3 linked regions of the Macaca mulatta genome follow. The protein of the gene in region 1 interacts with the protein of each later gene in a pairwise test. Links are inferred from orthologs where the notes say so. Each region holds a gene or a part of one and is shown on either strand. Other genes may lie near its edges.

Evidence for each region. The genes of interacting proteins can lie anywhere in the genome.
Region 2: the proteins of SPINK7 (region 1) and MT2A interact in binary tests that used the Homo sapiens proteins (3 or more experiments, as listed by UniProt). The link is inferred for Macaca mulatta from reciprocal best matches to the Homo sapiens genes SPINK7 and MT2A.
Region 3: the proteins of SPINK7 (region 1) and RABL6 interact in binary tests that used the Homo sapiens proteins (3 or more experiments, as listed by UniProt). The link is inferred for Macaca mulatta from reciprocal best matches to the Homo sapiens genes SPINK7 and RABL6.

Annotation. Positions count from the first base shown.
Region 1 is NC_133411.1:157,292,699-157,297,853, reverse strand, and holds the start of SPINK7 (serine protease inhibitor Kazal-type 7), read right to left. Parts: upstream 3,324-5,155; 5' UTR 3,246-3,323; coding exon 3,185-3,245; intron 2,368-3,184; coding exon 2,342-2,367; intron 1,630-2,341; coding exon 1,505-1,629; intron 92-1,504; coding exon 46-91; 3' UTR 1-45. UniProt on the Homo sapiens protein: Probable serine protease inhibitor.
Region 2 is NC_133425.1:52,179,271-52,182,826, reverse strand, and holds MT2A (metallothionein-2), read right to left. Parts: upstream 2,035-3,556; 5' UTR 1,973-2,034; coding exon 1,945-1,972; intron 1,637-1,944; coding exon 1,571-1,636; intron 1,365-1,570; coding exon 1,273-1,364; 3' UTR 1,135-1,272; downstream 1-1,134. UniProt on the Homo sapiens protein: Metallothioneins have a high content of cysteine residues that bind various heavy metals; these proteins are transcriptionally regulated by both heavy metals and glucocorticoids.
Region 3 is NC_133420.1:5,658,632-5,663,526, forward strand, and holds the start of RABL6 (rab-like protein 6), read right to left. Parts: upstream 3,435-4,895; 5' UTR 3,178-3,434; coding exon 3,048-3,177; intron 2,006-3,047; exon of another isoform or gene 1,837-2,005; intron 1,694-1,836; exon of another isoform or gene 1,316-1,693; intron 1-1,315. Other genes in the region: CCDC183 (coiled-coil domain-containing protein 183), read right to left, coding at 3,671-3,789, 4,291-4,387, 4,490-4,600, 4,685-4,853. UniProt on the Homo sapiens protein: May enhance cellular proliferation. May reduce growth inhibitory activity of CDKN2A.

The DNA.
Region 1 (5,155 bases):
TGATGAGGAGGATAGCATTCCTTTCTCTCCATGTCCATGGAGAATTTAGCAACTTCCATCGTGAAGAAACTGAACTCTTCCATTACTTTTCCTAAGGGAAGACACAGTTCACAAGATTCATTAGCACAAGAGGAAATTTTATGTAATGTTAGAACTGAAAGGAACTATAGAGATTATGAGGCAGAACCTCATTTTACAGATAAGGAAACTGAGTCTCAGAAAATGAATGACCTTGCCAAAGCATGTTCTGACAGAGAAAGAAGCAGAATTTCCCTACTCCAGTGATCATTCCACCCCTCTGCTACCTCCTCTGATTCCAGAGCCCCGCTGACCACCAAGTGTCTTAAAACAACAAAGAAAGAGTATTCTGACAAAGCAAATTGAGAGGGCCTGTCTCTCAGCTTTTCCTGGTCAGCAAGGCCTTTGACGAAGCTGGATCCTGCATTAGTGAGAAGGACTTTCACCATGCTTCCCTTCAGTGTCCCTTGAAAACAGCTAGTTTCCACGCCAAGGGCTAGTTTCCCAGTCTGCCTATGTTACAGAATTTTCCCTTTTGTGAAATAAAACCTCCCGAACAGGAATAAATACATAAATATGTCCTTTTGGGCTCAGGGCTTGTTATTCTCACTTGTTAAGATAATCACAAAGATGAAAATGCAAGATCTAGGTGTCCAAAATCCAGTGGCCTAAAAGAGTTAACAATGATCACAGTGGACTCGGTATGAGAGAGTTAAGTGCAATTTGCATGTCTTGTACCAAAGAAGTGACATCTGCCTAGCTACATTTCTGCAAAAACATTTTGTGGGCCAAACAAAATACCTAAACAAAACATGTCCGTGGTATTCTGGTCCAAATCCTGACAGCTTGCATCCCTTATTTTAGATAAAGGAAAAACAATCATTTTTGTAGGCTTATTCCCCCTTAAAGCTACAGATATATGGAGCCTCTAAGAATTTGAAGATAAAGAACCTCTAGGCACACTTTATCTAAGAATCAAGCTGCACTAAGACTGTTAAGTATCTTAGAAGTCAGGTAGTATAGTAGTTTTCAATTATTTTTGGGGGGATGGGGAGTTCAGGGCCCTTTCTTCAAACATGATATTGTATGGCACTCCACTGCTTAAAATAGTCCAAGCTGAACTTTATGTTGTAAACTACCCCAAATGGTCCCTTTAACCCTAATAGCGACTCCTGACTTGCCTCTATAGAACCTCTGTGCTCTGGGGACAGCAGTTTGAGAATCCACCATCTTACTGGATTCTCACAATTGACAGACAGGAATTGTAGGTTCTGTGATGGGATGGAACCAGTCCAAGCTGTCAGAGCAGGTGACTCTACCCTGTCTGATTGTGAAACAGTCAGTTTTTTTTCCCCACCTGCTGTTCTGGGTGGGGATAATTATAAATTATAGCTTATAGAGATGTAAGCTGGATCCTGGAAAGTAGAAAGGTTTGTAGTAGAGAGCACTGGCTCCAGATCTCATTTTCTTCTTATGAGGTACTCACAAGCTCTCAGTACACAAGTGACATTCATTCCCATAGGTGATGTAGTCAGAACCACAAACTGGCAGGTATGTGATGGGACAGGGGATGGCCACCACTGGATACTTCTTGTAAATGCTGCAGTCCACCTGTGTCATACACAAGCAAATGTCCTGTTTTTCTCCAAGACCGCAAGCTAGGCTACTCTGTCCACTATTAGATATACTACAAGGGCTGGAAGTCCCAGCTCAGATAATCAGATGTTGCTTGGCCACTTCTGTAAGTACTAGTGTTATCACTATTACAAATACTAGCACTATTGGTATTCTATGTTTTTCTACTACACTCAGTTAAAATTGCTGGGCGTTTCTGGGCTAGGCATCAAACTTAAATCTTATGTGAATTTTCTTGTTTAATCTTCAGAACAACTAGAGCAAATTCTACTATTACCTCTCTTTACAAATGTGGAAATTAAAGCTTAGAAATAGAGATAACTTTTTGAAGATAAATGCTGGTAAGTAGTAGAGTTAGTATTTGAACCCAGAGTCTGTGCAATTTATCAAAGTACTTTTTCCCTGCCTTTTACACGTGATGCCTTTTATGAAAACATTGCCAACCTTTCAGCTGGAAGGCAATTCTCCCTCCTTTAACTCTGGAATTTTTAAAAAACATTTTTAAAATATGGTTGTTTATATGTATGCCATATTTCTTCAATTGCCTTCTGGAAAGCAGATACCATTTCTCCACGTGTGTTTGCCTCCTTCTCAAATCCCCTGAAACATACTGAATTTATCCTACATATATGTTGACTAAATGACAGTCAATTGTTATTGACATTAAAATGTTATTCAACATACTTACTTTTTTTGAAGACAGACTAGCAGCTTCTGAAAAAGAGATATAGATGAAAATGTTAAAAATAAAGCGAACTTTAAATCTCATTAATTAAGTTTCATCCTATATAATGACTCTACATTTCCTTTAGCAATGAGATTTAGCACACTCTCCACCCTTATGCAAAATCCTAGTTGTTTGCTGAGGAAGTTGAATGACCAGTGGGTTAGGTTAACCCTTGGTTTAGGCAAGAAAATTATCAAAATTTCCTCTCTTTGTTGATCACAGGATGTTTTCTGAACCTCATAGTGTTTTTGATAATGGCCAAAGTCAGGTAGTAATAAGAAGTATTAAAATAATCACTCCTAAGAGCCTGAAGGATCATTTCTGATATCCTTTCCTTCCCAATTGACATAAAGAAATGCAATGGAATGTCTTTATGGGATTGGAAACACTAATTAATTTTTCAAAGTATAAAAGTCTGATTGTTGACCCTTGGCTTTTTGAGACTTGTGTTTTATTTTAATCCCTCCAAACTGATTTGGGAAGACATCCAAGTTTTTCTGTATCTTTGCACTAAGAAATAGTATATCTAATAACACTGACAACTTCCAGTGTCCATATGAACATATGAAATGGAAGACTTATGGAGAAATTAGATGATTTTTGTTCTATGGATGCAAATAAGAATCCTTGAAAGACATTGGACTCAAGTCTCTCAAACTCCAGATGGAGCATAAGATCCTATTACAAACCAGTACACTTTAAATTCTTACAACCAGATGTTTCTGAGATGCTCACATCCCAGGAGGGATTATTTGTGAAAACAAGCTTAATGGCTATATAGGGCGTCGTCTGACCTTAACTTACCTGAGCTGCTACAGAAATAGAACACTGTGCAGAGCAGAAGGAGACCCCCAATGATCTTCATGCTGGAAATGGCTGTGGTGCAGAAGCTGCTCTGAGATTGTCACTACAGCTGCATCGACCATAGCCCAGGAAAGGGGTCATGTTTATATATATGCAAGGCTTGGTTTCTCCACCTTTCCTGTGAGGTCATCCAGAGGATCTCAAAGGAGGGTGCCACACCCTGGGCTGTGTTACAGTCCTTGTTACTGAATTGCTACTTCTTATCTGACCAATGATTTGATTATTTGAGGTAAGAAGTATTTTCTATCTTTCCCAAAGGTGGGACTGGTAAGAATTCTAAACTTCATGTACTAGAAGAGACTAAGTATGAGCTTCTTGGCTTAGTTATGAAATAAGTGAAAATCTCAAACCTCCTTTATTTTACAAAACTGGAATCTATTAAACCCAGATTAGACTGATTACACCTATGTTTATATCTTGGCACCTGGGGAAATATTGTTTATTTTTGAGGCAATGAACCAATGAAGCAAACTGGGACCAAATGGAAGGAACACTGACATTAGCATTTATGAAGTATGGAGAAAAGCACTAACATATTACTTCTGATATTTTCTACCTGTATAATCTTGGATAAGTCGTTATATGCCGTGAGCCTTTATCAATCCAGAAGGCTTGGTTATGTTGTGATAACATGTAGCCACAAGATTTCTGTTAATTAAAACAAAACTTTGCTTTTTACTCAAGCTACACTTGTATGGTAGTCAGCTGATCATGCTACATTTGCCTTCACTGTGAATGCCAAGTGGACAGAGTCATCACTATTTGGAATACTGTAGTCAAGGTGAAGTGAAGATGAATTCTCAAGGAGTTCTCATTTTAGCAATTAAAACTTCCAGCCCAGAGCAATACTACTGTCACTTCCCCTCATGGTCTTGTGGCCGTCACATGCTTTGTGATGTATGGAGTGAGTGCAATCAATCTGATATGGTTTAGCTGTGTCTCCAACCAAATCCCATCTTGAATTGTAGCTCCCATAATTCCCATATGTTGTAGGAGGGACCTGGTGGGAGATAATTGAATCATGGAGGTAGTTTCCCCCATACTGTTCTCATGGAAGTGAATAGTCTCACGAGATCTGATGATTTTATAAGGGGTTTCCCCTTGCACTTGACCCTCATTCTCTCTTGCCTGCTGCCAGGTAAGACATGCCATTCACTTTCTGCCATGATTGTGAGGCCTCTCCAGCCATGTGGAACTGTGAGCCCATTAAACCTCTTTTTCTTTATAAATTACCCAGTCTTGGGTATTTCTTTATCAGCAGCTTGAAAACAGACTAATACACAGTCTTACCTTGTCCTGACTTGTTCCCTGACCTGAAGGTCAGATGAAGAACTAGAATAGTTGACAAACAGCAGAGATCATCCCAGAGACTGAGTTTCATCCAAGTCCAATAGAGCCTCTTGTTAGCCACAGTAGAGTTCACCTAATTATATACATAAAAGTCTGCTCTAAAGCATAGTGCATTTAATAATAATATTGTGATTGTTATTATTATTGACAAACCAAGAGTTAATGCTATGAGTTGCTGACATTAGATTGTAAACTGAATTGTCCATGCAAAAGTGTCCAAATAGCTGCAGTTTGCTTATTGAGTTTAAGGACGTAGTATGAAGACCTGGGGGAAGGCAGTAGACTGTCTCACTAGTTTACTGCTTGGCAGGTTTATTTTAGTACATTCTAAAACTAGCAACTACAAGATATATTAAGTGAATAATAAATGATATTGCACAATCTCCTAATATTTTACTCCTATACTTGTTTGAGAGTCAATGTAATCTAGTAGTTAAGAGCATGGGCATTGAGTAGATCTCATTTAGAATCTTTCTTCCAAAAAAATGTTGACTGTGTGTCTTTTAGTATTTAGGTTAACATCTGATACTTTAGTGTCTTCATCTTTATGACAGAAACAAT
Region 2 (3,556 bases), on another chromosome or scaffold:
ACCTTCAGGCAAGTGTGCTCCTGATTCCTGGGCCAAGGGACTCATCGTCCTCTTTGACTGAACTTCAAATAACATTCCCTCCACATAGCCAGGGGCCTAACCGTTGGCTTTAATTACAAGTCACTCAGAGCTTCACTCCTTTCTAATGAGCTGCACCACACCCTCTAAACTGCTGAATGCCATCAACCCTGCGTGGGCAGACAGGAAGAACTTCATCTGCAACCCGTGATCACACACACTGCATCTTGCTGGGAACATGCTGGGCATTTCCCTCCACATCCCCAGCCACTTTGCTGGTTTAAGTAGCCAACGGCTGAAATTTGAGAGAAGTAATTTCAGCCTGACCTTGGGAGGAACTTACAAAGACTCAGAACCAAGGCAAAACGGGGAGCTCTCAGGGGTCTGAAAGTGTCCTGTCAGTGACACTGGGCAGGACAAGCCTGATGGTTCCTTGTGGGGATGTCTGGATCAGTGCTGCTCAGGGTGTGCCAGCCACACACTGGGGCTAGTCTGAGAACTGTTACCAGGATGCAACACACAACTTTGGACAAATGTGTAGTGTTGATCATTCTTTTATTTTTCCTATGTTAATTTGTTCTCCATATATTTGTTGAACATTTCCTGTTGAATCTAAAAAACGGTCTTTGTATTTTGTGTCCTTTAAGCATTCATTTTCTTATTAACTCATTATTTTACCAGAGTTTAGGTCTGTGACTAATGGAAAACAAAACTGGTCATTCACCACAGGGAGTTTGGGAAACCGGATGTCAGATTCTAGCCACTGGGGAGCTGGATTTCACCCTCTGCAGTCACTTTCAAGTCTAAAATCCCACGAAGAACTGAAGTTGGGCAGGGAAATCAGAAAGTGAAAATGAGGAATGGAGAAGTTTCTGTGCCATATTTGACATGAAACTGAAAGTGATCACGTATGTGTCCCTCCTGCCCCCATACGATCTGGCTCAACGCCATTCAGTTTTACAGAAGATGAAGTTCAGTGCGGTAGCCTGGCTTGCTAGAATGCACTCTTTCTTAGCGGCTCACATTTCCATCCACAGCCCAGGTAGAGCCCTCTCAGTTCCATCGCTCAACCCAGTCCATTATTTTTAAGGCATATAAAGGAAACCAGAGGCAGAATCACGTCAAAGCTGTTTTATTATCATTCATATTATTTCATAGAAAAAGGAATGCAGCAAACGATCAGGGTTGTACATAAAAAAATCCAGGTTTGTAGAGGTCGCATTATTTACATCTGGGAGCAGGGCTGTCCCAGCATCAGGCGCAGCAGTTGCACTTGTCCGACGCCCCTTTGCAGATGCAGCCCTGGGCACACTTGGCACAGCCCACAGGGCAGCAGGAGCAGCAGCCTGGAGGCAGAGAGGAGGCGGCAGAGATGAGTACTAGGGACACAGGGAATAAGGATTCCTGCTTTCCCTGATAAGGATCACTGAGGAGGCAACAACTTCCGCGTAATGGGGCATCCCCAGACTGCTTTCATTCCCCTGAGGATGGTGGAGAGGGGACAGGCTGGGAGGACAGTGAGGGGTTAGAGGAAAGAGAGAATCCCACTTACTTTTCTTGCAGGAGGTGCATTTGCACTCTTTGCACTTGCAGGAGCCGGCGCAGGTGCAGGAGTCACCTGCAAGGAGAAAAGACAGAGGTGATAACGGTCCCTGGATACCTGAACGTGGGACGGCGTGCTAAGAGCCCGGGGCAGAGTTCCTCTGTCCACAACCGATTCCTGGGAACTTGAGCAAGCCATTAACTCAGATCTCCTTAACGGTAAAAGGAGGGCTCCGAATAACCTAGAATGGATTGAAAAATACCCTAAAACGCTTTGGGAAGGAGCAACTCCTGTCCTGAAATTGAGTGATCAGAGAAAGAAAGAGGGGTCAGAAATTGCTTCTCTAGCGCTACAGTCTATACTTGGCATCCCCAGCCCCTTACCGGCGACGCAAGAGCAGTTGGGATCCATGGCGAGTTGAAGAGGCGGCTGGAGTCGGGACAGGTTGCACGCGGGCTCGCTGGGACTTGGAGGAGGCGTGGTGGAGCGGAGCGCTGCGAGCAGTGTTTATAGCTGAAAAGAGCCGGAACGAGTGCAAAAGCCCCGCCCCGGCCGGGCGCTGCCTGCACACGCCCCGCGCTGAGTCACTCGCGGCTCCCAGCTAAACACCCGGCTGCGCGCACCGGGCCGGGCGCACCCGGCCTGCACACGGACCGCGGGAGGTCAGTTCCCTGAAGCCCGCCCACGTGCGCCCCGGGGACGCCTCGGGGCGGAAGGACCTGGGTGCAGCGGCAGGACACGGTGTACCGGGAGGACACGGTGTACCGGGAGGACACGGTGTACCGGGTGCCCACGCCGTGCGCCCCCGCCGTATGCACAGCTTCCCTCCCTCCTGTCGTGTACTCGAACCTGAGCCGTTAGCGCGCGGGTGAAAGCGGGACTTGGGAATGCTGCTTGCGTGGAAAACTGGTTGGAAGTGCAGACAGGTTACAACTCTGCGGCAGTCAAGGCTTAATAATTGTGCAGCATCACAGTAAACCCGTGGAGTTGTTACTGATGACGTATCCGTTGCATGTTGAGTACTTGAGCGTGCAACAGGGACCGTAGGAAGTGTGTTGTGTGTGAGATATCACTTCATTCTGCAACAACCCATAAGATAAGGACTCTCCCATATTCTCATCGTAGAGAGGAGAAACTGCAGGTCCAGAGAAGTTACTTGTCCAGGGTCACACAGCTAGTGAGTGGCAGAGCAGGGTGAATGCGACCAGGCCCCAGCAGATGCTGACGGTCCTCTAACATAGAGACACCAAGGAGGGAGAATAAGGACAAGAAGCCACAAGCTTGGTCCTCAGGAAGCTCAGGGGCTGGGGGAACAGAGAGGAGGAGACCCCATCCAGCCTGGGAGGAGGTGGGCCATTGCCTTGGGCCTGAGGGTAAGAAGGTGTTTGCCAGGCAGGGAGGGGGAAGGATTTGTGTTCTGGCCTGGGAAGGGAAGAACTAGCGGGAACACTGGGATCGCCCTGAGACATTTGAAAGGGAAAACCCCCACAAGAATGTTCTTCCCCTGTGGAGGCTGAGGGGAAGAGCCCAGGTGGCATCCAGATTCCTGTCTGGAGAGGCACATCCTGCCTCCCTGTCTGCACGTGTCTGGCGCTGTGTAAGGGTCTTAGATCATCAACCTCGGAAAGCCCGAAGTGTGTCATGCTAGGAGTCAGGAAGCGGTTACTGGAAGCTTCCTGGCAGGCTTAGGAAATGCTGATTGCCGCAGTGGGAGTTTAGTGAGGTGGTGGGGCGGGGGCGGGGAGGACAGGCTGTCCTTGCAACCCTTACTGTAAGTTCCTGTGGAAACGTCTTCCTAGCTCAGCCGAATCTCACTTCCTCTGGGGACCCTGTCCTGGCCCCCATGACTGTGGCTGCCCGTGGAGGTGCTGGTAAACATCCTGTTCATTCCCCTCCTGGCGCTTTCCACGCCTGTGGTATGTATAAACTGTGGGGACTCTTGGATTGGTGTCTCTGCCCCTCCTCACCAACCCCTGACCACTGGAAACGCCAAGG
Region 3 (4,895 bases), on another chromosome or scaffold:
GTGAGCCACTGCGCCCAGCAAAAAAAAATTTTTTTAAACCTACCTCTGACCTGGAGGCCCCCACTTCAAGTTGTCCCGCCTTTGTGGACCAAATCATTGTATATCTTAAATGTATTTGATCAATGCCTCACATCTAAAATGCATAAAACCAAGCTGTGCCCTCCAACGTGGGCACATGTCCTCAGGGTCACCTGAGGGCTGTGTCATGGGCCATGGTCACTCATGTGCGGCTCAAAAATAAATCTCTTCAAATATTAGACAGAGTTTGACTTTTTTTTTTAATCAACTATAGCCCAATGTCTCATTCGAGTTTTCATTCTAAAACCGATGGGTGTCCTGGGCCTCTGCCGGGCCGCTAGTGACTCTGAGCAAACGCAGGGCCCAGGAGGAGGGCCCAGACTCCTGGAAACCAGCAGCAGTTCCTGGAAACTCTCATCCCTAAAAACCCTCATCTCTGTCTTGGTCACACTGCTGGTCTGTTACCCTCTGTAAAATATTTGAGAAAATAAATATTAGAAGGCCAGGCGCGGTGGCTCACGCCTATAATCCCAGCACTTTGGGAGGCCGAGGCAGGAGGATCACGAGGTCAGGAAATCAAGACCATCCTGGCTAACACAGTGAAACCCTGTCTCTACTAAAAATACAAAAAATTAGCCGGGCAAGGTGGCGGCGCCTGTAGTCCCAGCTACTCGGGAGGTTGGGGCAGGAGAATGGCATGAACCCGGGAGGTGGAGCTTGCAGTGAGCCGAGATCACACCACTGCACTCCAGCCTGGGCGACAGAGCGAGACTCCGTCTCAAAAAAAAAAAAAGAGATAAGAAAATAAATACTAGACACTTTCTATTTTAACACAGAAACTCAAAAGTTAAAAAACTACATATTATTCAACTATAAAGACGACATCTTTCTAAAATGTAATTTAGGTACAAATCCGAATTTCTCTCAGTCTCACCACCTTTCATTCAGTTCTAGGAGATCATAACCTGTCCTCCAAGTACTGGAGACTGGCTTTTCTCCTCTGGAAGGACCCTATTGCCCTTTTTAGTCACACTCGCAGGGGTGGTCCTGGTGCGTAAGGTGGACCTCACCCAGGACCCTTGGGGAGCCTTTTCAGAAGGTGAACAGTTTCCAGGTCCAGGCCTAATTTCCCAGGGACTAATACTGAGCTTAGCCAATATTATAAGCAATAAAATTAAATAAAGGATCCAAATGCAGAGTCTAAAGACTTGCATAAACTCAGTATTTTAACTCAATATTCTCTTCTCCGAATGCCAGATATACATAAAGTTTCAATTATAACACATTTAAAATGAGCTTTTATTTTTATTCAAAATGTACCGCTTTATTTTCCTTACCAGACAGCAGAGCACTAAGCAGGTTCCAGTCACGTGACTTCTTCAGCGAGCCCCCAGGCTTCCACAGGAGTCCGGGAGCTCCGGCCAGAGGAATCCTGAGATTGCAAATAGTCAAGCCTTCTCCCCAGCCACAAGTTCCTTTGATACTTGGGTTACTGAACACAAACACAATGGATAATTTGTCTTCAACATAATCCATTTCTGTTCCTAAACGTGTTAGCTGCGCCTTCTTTCCGATGAGCACTCTGACTCCAATTTGAACTTCATCAAAATGTCCTTTGTCTTCGTATGCTCTAGAGTATAAGAAAGGCCAATACGGCCCCTGGTTCGGACACGAACTTTTTTTTTTAATTTTTTTTTTTTTTTGTATCTTTAGTAGAGACGGGGTTTCACTATGTTGGCTAAGCTAGTCTCGAACTCCTGACCTCGTGATCCGCCCGCCTCGGCCTCCCAAAGTGCTGGGATTACAGGCATGAGCCACCATGCCCGGCCCGGACACCAACTTTCATACCTAGATGCTCAGACTTATCTTTAAGAAGTTGTTTTATCTTGCTTACTGCTGAAGGTGTCAGGGTGAGGGCGGCCCAAGTGGTCTGCAGCTTCCTCTTGCTCACAGGCCAGACGGTGGCCGGGACTAAGGAAGGCGACATCTTCACTGTCCTCCTGGACTAGCTCCAGTCCAGTCCCTACGGCCAAGAACTACGGCCCATCTCCGTGGACACGGCAGGCGAATTCATGAACTTGTTTTTAAACCTGCACAAGAGTCTTTCTGATTATTAGTTCTTAAAATCGTATATTACCATAGAAACATCGCGCAGACTATAAGGCTCCCCTTAAGGTGACCAAAAAACTGGACAGGCGTAGCGTCCTAATATCTGATAGAAACATACGGAAATGGCTAAGAGGGAAACAATGCCAAAGCAGGGAACGACATAAAACCGTTTAAAAACTACTGGGAAAGAGCCTGCAAAACGGAAAAACTCAAAAGAGGTCGAGGACAATTTACATAATTTATAACAAAGGAATGGAGCGTCCCAGGCGCTCAGGAGTCCGTAAATGACTCCTCCTCAGGAGGAATGGGCTGTCTCCTACAATCGCAAGTCAGTCCGTGCCTTCTGGAGCTTTTCTAGATACGTCCCTTACAAATGCTTCTTTAAAAAAAAACAAACAAAAAGACGAGAATGTGTGGCGTAGCTAATATTCTGCCTTCGAACTCAGTAGGAAGTCAACAAAGAAAAATCCCGTTGAAAGCGCCAAGGCCGGCAGGTTTCCCCGCACCTCCTCCAGGTGAGAGGTGCCCGGGGCTGGCCACCGTGGAGCGTCGGGGACGCGGCGCCCCGGGTCGGCGGGCCCTGCTTGGCGTTATGTAATCACCGCCGGGCCGGCAGCCGGGCCAATCCCGGCACCGCCGACCCGCTCCACTGCACAGCGCGGCGGGAGCGACACGCGGCAGGCGAACGCGGTTGGGAAACGACCCCCGGCTCCGGTGATGCGAGGACCCAGCCCCGGCCCGGCCTCTCCTAGCGTCCCCTGGCCCGCGCCCCAGCTCCCGGAGCGCCCGGCGGGTCCAGCGCACCCCACAACCGGCAAGCAGGCGAGACCGACAGCCACCACCGCGCGGCGCTCCGGGCAGGGCCTGGGCTCGGAGACCCGCGCGGCGCTCCCGCGCCCACCCCGGCCCGCCGCACTCACTGTTGTACTGCACCCCCTTGGCGAAGCGCCTCTGCAACGCCTGGTTCATGGACTGCAGCCCGGCGGGGATGTTCTTGTCCCGGCCCGGGGCCTGCTCCGACCCCACTAGCTTCTTCAGGGCGGAAAACATCTTCCCGCTTGGACGTCCCAGCCCGGGCGCGGCCGGCGAGCTCAGCGGCGGCGGGGAAGGGGTGCGACTCGCACCATGTCCCGGCGGCCCCGGTCCCCCCGGAGGCCGGAGCCGGCGCGGTCAGAGACCGGGGCGCAGCCTCGAGCGGTGACTCGGGAACCTCAGCGGCTGCTGCTCCGCTCGGGCCCCCGCGGCCTCCGGCGCGGCCACTCTCCAGGCGTCAGCGCCGCCATCTTGGCGCCGGCTCGGCGGGACGCGAGGGGCGCGCGGCTACAGGGCGTCGCGAGGGCCATGGGGCGCGGCGCCCGCGGCCGGCGCATGCGCAGGCCGTTCTGGCGCGCAGTTCCCGGCCCGGGCCGCCTCCCCGCTTAGAACTTCTCCGAGAATCCTGCGTGCCCGGTGCTCCTCTCCGAGAGCCCGGTCGCCCCAGCGTCCGCAGCAGTCCTGGAAAAATGTTTATTTGTGTAACAAAGCAGGGAGCGGGGCGGCGGGGCTACTTCTTCTTCTTCTTGGCCGCCTTGAGCTTCGCCTCGATCAGCCGCTGCGCCTGCTTCTTGATCTCGGCGCGCGAAGGGACGTAGCTGTGGTCCACGTCGGCGAACTGGAAGGTGTCTGCGGGCGGAGGCAGCGGCTCGCACCCGGGGCTAGCCCACCCAGGCACAGCCGCCCGACCCGCCTATCACCCCCGCCCTCTACAGACCCAAGCCAGGTGCCTTGCCCCAGGGACAGCCCCAGTGTGCCGGGAGGACTCAGCCCAGCCCATCCTCAGCGGCTCACACTGCCCTGCTTAGCCTTTCTCGCGGAAACCCCAGTGGAGGCTCTGGCCCAGGCCTTCCCCGCCCTCCTCCCTGCTCCAGCCCTGGTGCCTCTCCTGCGGGCCTGTCTGGCATGTCATGCCTCCTCCTTTCGGAGAAATTAATAAGGTATTTCAGTGGCTTTAGCCTCCCCATGGCATCACTAAGTCACCTCCATCAATTGAAGTCCTGCAGGTACAACTGATGCACCCTGTAGCCCCGCTGTGCCTCCAGGATATCCCGGTGGGATGGGAGTCAGCGCCACCCCCACCTCTGTTCCACCCGCCTGCAGCCCGAGCCCCAGCTCCGGAGCCTGTACCGATCATATCCTCCTCGCGGTCCTCAAAGCTGATCCTGGTGTTGTACTTCTCCTTCAGAGTCGAGGACTCCAGGGCATTCCTCACCTTTGTGTCACCCTGCAGGGCAAAGCCCCCTTCAGCCGTGCAGACACTGTGAACGGGGGGCTGTCAGCTTTGAGGGGATGTGGGCTGTGCAGGTTCCTCCCAGCCCGGGGCTACCTCCTCGGTCCTGGACATCGTCTGCACTCTGTCAGCCAGGTATGTGAGCTTCCCCTCGCAGTACGCCAGCTTGCTGTTCAAATCGAGGGTGTCGGAGGGCACTTCTTCTTTCTGTAGGCCGGGAGGAGGGTCTCATCTCCCCTCTGGCCCTGCCCAGGGACCCCATGTGTGGCAGCTCCGCCTCACTCCCGGTACCTGGGTTGCAGGCAAGGTGATGCCCATTAGCCGGACATAGAGGTTGTCGATGCCCGTCTGGATGGTTAGCAGCAGCTTCTGGCCCTTGGTCATGTTGCTCTGCGCGAGCTGGAGCCTCTCTTCTTCCTCTTTTAACATGTCTGTCATCTTCTTCTCAATGGACTTGAAGCTGCAGAAGGCAATAGGGACACAGCAGTGAGGGGCACAGGCC